2 linked regions of the Drosophila melanogaster genome follow. The gene in region 1 interacts genetically with each later gene. Each region holds a gene or a part of one and is shown on either strand. Other genes may lie near its edges.

Region 1 (3,929 bases):
AAGTGCAGATGCTGTAGCTACCATCCTCGAATTAAAAACCCAAGATGAATCACTCAGCTGCACTGGGCTATTGCCCCTTTTCTCGAGCAGCTCCAGACTTCTGACTCAATGTGAACGCAGCTGGTGGGTTTTTTGGCCCCTCCTTGGTGCCCATTGACACCCCCTTTGCCTTTCCTGGCCAACACGAAACCCACTTGACCAACATTTGTCATGGCTCGAACCGAGTGCAGCCGGCGGCTAATTGACTCGAATTTCGCCGCGTGAAATTTTAATTCTTTATTACGGCTCATCGCTGTCATTTGTTGTGTGGTTCTGCCTTAAACATGCATTTATTTTTAAAAACTCTGTTTACATTCCTGTGCCTGATCCGCCGAAGAGAAGTGGCATTGGAGAAAAAAGCGCCAATCGAATAAAGCCAAAGCCAAAAAAAAAAAACGTTGAATTTTAATGAAAACGCAATCGAGGCAAATTTTTTGTTCGCTTAAAAAACACACAGATATACATATATATATATATATAAATCTGCATGTGTATGGGCCATAAGTCGATTAAGGTGACACATTGAGTTATGTTTGCGTTGATTCAGCACAAAATTCCCATGACATCTTATAACTTTCGGCAATGACATATATATAATCGAAAAATGGGCCTACACCAAAGAGGTTTATGAGTATTAAGATCATCCTTATCAAGAAATGACGTTATCATTAGGAACAAAGTTAATATTTCAGGAAACAAAATGCGTATATGTATAACTCATTTTTTATATCTAACTAACTATGGCCAACTAACAAGCCATCCTTATGAACTGGCACCTCGCAATTCCTACTTTTCTGCCTAGTTTACAAGTTACAGATATTTTCCATCTGTATCCGACCTTATAAGATCTACCTTTCCACACAAAATTTACAAATTATCGCATGGAAAATTCGGAATTTAATCATACAGAATACAGAATTTTCTATTCTTAGAGTACGATATATACACACGTTGGTTCAAATGGGTCTAATGCATATAGATTCTTTAGCCAAATGCCTTGGGCGATACTCTAGCAGCTTTCCTGCTCTCTATTTCACTGTTTAGTATCTGTAGCACACACGGATTGTATCTAAAAATAGGACAGCCGAGGCATCTGTTGAATATCTAGCCTCTCCACGGATATTACTTAATACTAAGCTGAGAGGAAGGGAGCTTTCTGGGAAATTCTTGGCGCATTTCGCCTACGTTCGCTTCAGATTCATTTGGCAGCTAGGGCCAGCGGTCGTGGATCAGATTTCAAAGATACAAAACTGCAAAGTAAATGCGCGTGTTGCCCAGTTACTTGGAAAATAGGCTCAATGAATTCCTAAACATTTTGGATTAAAGAAAATTATAATTCAGGAAACCATTCCATAGCAAGGATAGCTATCTTGAAGTCTATCTCATTGATCTTTATCTTAAGAATGATTCCCTTACTTTCTCATATACAACATGACAATTTTAGTTTCTGAAAGGAGGAAAGAGAGCTCGATAATCCTCCTTTTGCCTTAATTCTTTACTTCTGCCGCTAAAATCTAAGATCGTTCGAAGTTCCCACTGACCATGTTTATATATCTCATGAAATACGTTTAGCTGAAACCCTATATAGCAACTTGCGGTTAGCAGACAAACTTGACAAGGTCCCCAGAATCGTTATTCTTAGTTTTTTTTTCGCGATCTGCAAAGGTGCTTAACCTCTATTTGGGTTTATTTCGATTCTAACTGGGAAAATTTTCAATTTTTTTCAATACTTGCGGATGATTAGGGTTGAGAATTGCACAGCACTTTGGTGGATTTTAAGTTAGATATTGCAGCAACGTTGTGGTTATGTAATTATACTTTTTGGTTCGATCCTTTTTTTTAAATAAGAATCGAATTCTAGCACAGTTAAAATTATTTTTGAAGCACTCGACAAGTATTTTTGTGGAAATATTCAGCGATATCTTTGTATTTTTTTTTGTATAATTTTTTACTGATCAACGATAACGTATTCCTTTTTACTTACAAAACTTTTATTCGGAGTTATCCGCGACTTGAACGGATTGTGATGTTCAACTGAAAATATTTATTCAATATGTTGACGTTCGATGCTCGCCGCTTGGTCGATTTCGAGCGGCTTGCGCTGGTGTGTGTGCGTGTGAGCCGCCGCGCTAGTGCGCCTGTGTGCGTGAGTATCTGTGTGCGAGAGTGCGCACTTTTCGGCCAAAAGCGAGCATATGTTGTTGCTGTCTGCGCCTACTTTGGAACTGCACTTGGCTCTCAATTTACCCCAAGAGCATCGGTAAATTGCTCGGCCGGGGTACAATAGCTTATACACTGCGCGAAATCAACAAAGGGGTGCATTTGTTCTTATTTATATACTCATATTTAATGTAATCATGCATGCTTTCTAATATCAGGACATTTAATATGCACTTTTGATTTAATGTATTTATAAATTTATGTCGCACTTATCATTTATCATCATTTACTCATGCTACTTTTGTTATTACAAATTTGAATTTTGAAATTCATTTATAAATTATATTAAATGTTTTTTTCATTCAGAAAATACTCCAAAGTGAAATGGGCTATGCCAGTTAAGAAAGCTGTACAACATTTCTTTACCCCTCAGCCCGTAATATATTTAATTTATGTTCCTATCCGATTTCTGCCAGTGTAACGGAAAGCATAAGATCAGAATTTCAAATACAGTTACAATTTATACACACACATTCAAGCCCGGCGCCTGCGCTCTCTCTCCGCTTTCTCTCTGCCTCTCTTTTCCGATCCTTTCCTTGGTGCTTTCACCTGTTCGCTGCACATGTATGGGTAATGCTCACTCATTTCGAATCGAATGCCTTTCTTTCAGCCTATTTTTGAATATTTCCCCGTATTTTGAAAAGCTCTTTTCACCCAGTGTTTTTGCCCATTGCAAAATATATCCAATACTTAGGCAATCGTGTCTCTTTTCCCGATGAGAGTGTATTGGTTTGGGGATCGTTTTGTTTTGCTTTTTGATGTTCTCAACTTCTATTTTTAATTTTCAGTTATTGATATGCCAAAAAATCTTGTTTCACGTAGTTATACGTACGTATTTCCCCCATAGGTCTACAGATTATTATTTTCTGCTCTATATATTAAAGCTCTTTCTATAGATTTTTCAACGTCATGTCTGCGAACGGAAAACATTTTGCTGGCAATCATAAATGTCACATATGAAAGTATACGTTTTTTTGTAACTGTCTCGCAAGAAAATGCATCCATGATTCATGCTTTTTTAAATTGCAAACGTGAAAACGGTTGAAATTCAGTTTCCCCATAATCGTTGAGTTTCCGATCTGGTGATATGCATATTTGCCCTTCTAGATTGCTTGCTTACTCGTTGATCACGCCCTTTTAATCTTATCGCCAACAAAATTGTTGGAGATCTTATATGTTCGAATGCAACTAAAGTCTTTAAATATAAACCTATAAATATAAGCCAATTTGATAGCCCCAACATATATACATATATGTATTTACTTATTCCATTTTTTGTTGTTCTCTTATCTTGGAGAACATTTGCCAGTCCGAGGTTGATGAAAATTTTAAAATTAACTCAAACAACACCCACAAAATGACGTAATTGTATTCATTAAAAACAAAAAGTTTTCGAAGCAAGAAAACTAGATCAATATATTTATAAAGACAAAGAAAAAAAAAAACAAAGAAGACATAGACATGGAAAAGACCCTTGAGAAAACGTCGAAAAACATTGTAAAATAGCAAAACAGTCTGAGCAACTTGCTAAATACGAAAACGAAATCATGGCCATCGAATCCGACCCGTTGACATGTGTTAGTTATGGAAAACCAAAGTTTTCATAATTCCAAAATATACGCGAATTAAATAAGTTCATGAGTGTGTAGCACTCAGCTTGGCTCAGACAA
Region 2 (3,929 bases), on another chromosome or scaffold:
TGAGTCTCGCTGTTGGCCCAGTTCCAGAAGCAAACCCATTGAAAGCAAAAGTTTCAGAAACACCACCGCTCCTCACGTGACTTACCTGCCGTAGAGCTAATCCTGAGATTGATTCCTGAGACCGATTGCGATCGAAATAGAATCAGCAAAAGCCTGAGTGGGTTGCTAAAAGGATACTATGTATATAACGAGAAACATCAACAGAAAAAAAAATATAAACGCAACGAAAACAAAATTGGCGTGGAAGCAAGCTGCTTGCGGATGTGCAGATATACAGATATGCGGATATGCGGATGCCGATATTATGTGAACTTGCGAATTCAGCGCGACTTGCACTTTGCGCGAGCGATTTACGGTACTCAGTTTGCAGTTTGCAATTCGCAATTGGCGATGAGCTGCCACACGACGTTTGCTCAGTGCGACGCTGAACAGCAAACTGCAGTTCCGCCGTTTCGGGCTGGCTTTCGATCGTTCCCGAACCCTGCCCAACCGGCCTTCGTGTTCGGCCGAGTGCAGATCCTCAGCTGCCTTCGCCTTGGCCGTGAGCTTCACGAAGCCTCAGTCTGACTGACAGACTGCAGCCGAAAAAGCGAGGAGTGGCGGGTAGCGGACAAGTGGGGAAGTGGGGAAGTGGGGAAGTGTGGAAGTGTAGAAGTGGAACAATGCAGCGCAGAGTCCAGGGGTGGAGAAGCTGAAACGGGGCTGAAAGAGGCGACTGAGGCTACTGTGCTGCCCTGCTTCCTGCAGTGCATCTGTATCTGTAACAGTATATGTGTCTGTATCTGTATATGTATATGTAGCTGCATCTGTATCTGTATCTGTATCCGTACACTCTGTGCGTCTTTGTGTGCCTTTGTATGCAGATGCACCGAAATTTTTGGACAGTTCGAAGGGAGGGGTCTAGGCCCGGTCCGTCCGCTTTTGTGACTCTTCATCAAAGTGCTAATGAGGAGAGCCGAGCCCAAAGGCAGAGAGGGAGAGAGCAGGCAGCTGCATCGGATGACTCAAATGTCCTTCTTATGGATCGGGCCACGAATCCGAATCAAATTTCAGTGTGTATCTGTACCTGCAACCGTGTGTGAGAATATGGATGTGTGTGTGTGTGTATGTCGATATAGATCTGGATGCTAGGCTCCCTCTGCCCCTAGATCAAGGAGCTTCCAGCACGTTCGGTTTGCCCTACAAAGCAAAGCGGATGGGGTCGGATGGGATGTAGGAAACCCTTACCTGGATGGTGCGGTTGTAGTTGCGCTCAGTAGGTGCATCCTTGCTCATGGCGGCGCTTCATTGGGTCGACTACTTGGGGATGCACACTGATTATTCACTTGAACTTTTGGGGCTTTGGGTTTTTGGGGTTGGCTTTCGCTTTTTCCGCTCCTGATTCTGCGATTCAGTGATTTAGCTATTCTTGGATTCTTAGATTCTTTTGATTCAAAACGCGCGCGAATCGCGCACTAGATGGTTTGCGTCCTTTGGTCTTTGCTTGGGTGCACTTGACAAAAAACACAAAAAAATAGAACAGAGGGAATTGTCCAGTCCTCGTGTGTGTGTTGGATACTGCTGTGGTGCGTTGGTGCGGTGGTGCGAGGGTAGGCGTGGGGTGGGCACTAATGCTATTCAATTCGGGCTCAAACTTAGAAATGGAAATTGAAATTGTGCGTTTAGGCTGAACTAACTTTAGTAACTGAACCGATCGAATTAAAAAGCTCAACTGAGTTCCGAAAAAATGCAGTTAAATGTGTTGGGCTTGTGCCGCTGCCCTCTGCCAGTGTGCGTGTGTATTGGTGTGTGCGCGAGTGTGTGCGTCTGCCCAATTGAATCAGAGAATTCGCTGTGCACCAGTGTTTGTGATATATATGTGTGTGTGTGTATATACTTATGCCGCCTGTATGTTTCATTCGCTTTTTTCGCTTCTTGCTTTTTACTTTTTACTTTTTGCCTTATTTGCTCGCTTTTTTGTTATATACTTCTCGTGTGCGATTGTGTGTTTCCTTCGCTTTTTTGGAGTGCAGCGACGTCGACGGCGGCGGCAGCGGCAGCAGTGCGATCTGCGATCTGCGATCTGCGTTCTGCGATCAACTCGATCCGATCGCTGCAGTTTACAGCGCTGCCTGCAGCGCAGTCGCCAAAAAAACGAGCAAATTTTCTGCGCATGCGACGGCGGCGAAGCCGAGCAAGCGAAAATTGCGTTTTTTTCGGGGGTTCCATGTGTGTGGTTGTGGTTTTTTTATTATTTTTTTTTCTGCTGTCCGTATATTCTGTTGTGTTTTCTGGTATTGCCCATTTAGAAGTTTTGTTTATTCATTGTCAGGCCGACAAAATTGGGGGAAATGAAATGCAAAGTCGTCGGCGAGCGAACGAATCAACGAGCGCCGCCCACACACCGATGCAATTACAAACGCGAATGTTTGGGGCAGATCCGCAGATCGGCAGCGGCAAATTGTAAATAGAGTGATATGGAGCGAGAGGGGTAAGGGGAATGGGAACGGGTAGGGGAATATGCAACTTTCCCCCTATGTAACTCCAAAGATACAGAAAGCGGTACATACGCACACAAAGTCGGCGGCGATCGGAGCGTTTTTTTTTTTAGGCAGAATATCGTCGTGCGTCTTCGGCTCGGAATTGCCCGATTTCACGACCCGCCTGTACCCCCTTCCCACCATACCCCCACAGAGGGTTCCAATTGAAAGTGTAGCCCACATTTCGAGCCCCATCCCAAACGCAAACCCAAATCCAAAGTCGGCCTGTTTTTAGGGCCTTCCCCTGCCTTCCCTCCCTTGCGTCACCCTTTGGAATTGCATTTTCTGCTGATGTTGGTGAAGAGTTGTTTAATATTTTGGTTACCATTACCATTACCATTACCGCATTTTATTACATGGCTCCCCTGTTTGCCATAACCCAGATTCCCATTTCCCTGCTCCCCCGCCCCACCTCCTGGCACGCACAAAGACTTAAGACCGAAGACTGCAGAGCGAAGATTTGCTGGCCCTGAGGAGAAACTGAGCGACTGAGTCTGAGAAACTTGTTGCCACTTGCATCTTGTTTGCCAGTTTTTTTTTTTGTCCGAATTTAATTGTTTTTGCAGCGTTTTTATTTTACTGCTGCATCCCCTTGTTGTTGTCGCCGATATTTTTATGAGCTGTTTTTGGTTTTTTTATTTTTTAGATTCATGCGTGGCGATTTTGGTTTTTTAATTCTGCTGGTCTCGCACTCACGTTAGCATTTTTCAAGAATTGTCTTGAGTGTTGTTTTGTTAAGGTTTCCCTGTCTGCAGTGACCTCTTGCCGATTCATAAACGTATAAATGTATCTACACGTACCATATACACAACATTACCTACGTACCCATAATGCCTTTATTGCTGCGTCTCGTTCGGTTTATGGTTGTTTCAAGATCATCGCAAATGTCACCGAGTCACAGATTAGCCAGAAAGAGGCGAGTCGCGCGGGCAGGGACCACTGTAGTCGCTCTAAGCTCCGCTCCTTTGTTGGGTCTCCGGTTTCGGGTTGGGTGCTTTGCAATTACAACCGGCATTAACCTCTAGGCGGCGCAAACGGAGTCGCAGGCAGCCAACAACCTCGACAACAACCTGACGGCGTAGACGCCGACGTCGAAGGCAGAAGGCAGAAAACAGCGACTGCGAAGGCGAAATGATCACATTGAACTTGTCGATGTCGTTTGTTCTAATTGAAACTGCAGTGGGTTAGTCACCCGCAGTCACTCGCTCCCGCTCACGCACTGGCCATCTCCATCCGCCGACGTCGATCTCTCTTCGCCTGCATATCGGGCGTATACGTAATACGCGAGGAGGTCAACGACGGAACCGCCAGCGATATAGATGGGGCGCGAGCGAGAGAGAGAGTGAGAATTAGAGACTGCCCTCGCCAGCCGTGAAACACCAGTGTTTACACGAGAAGCGCTTTGATCAA

What was found.
Region 2: of Tm1 (region 1) and br, changing one enhances a phenotype caused by changing the other (phenotypic enhancement), as found in Drosophila melanogaster (one study listed by BioGRID).

What each region holds. Positions count from the first base shown.
Region 1 is NT_033777.3:15,279,698-15,283,626, reverse strand, and holds the start of Tm1 (tropomyosin 1), read right to left. Parts: upstream 2,078-3,929; 5' UTR 2,024-2,077; exon of another isoform or gene 1,770-2,023; intron 1-1,769. UniProt on the Drosophila melanogaster protein: Tropomyosin, in association with the troponin complex, plays a central role in the calcium dependent regulation of muscle contraction.
Region 2 is NC_004354.4:1,610,102-1,614,030, reverse strand, and holds the start of br (broad), read right to left. Parts: upstream 1,691-3,929; 5' UTR 1,228-1,690; intron 375-1,227; exon of another isoform or gene 86-374; intron 1-85.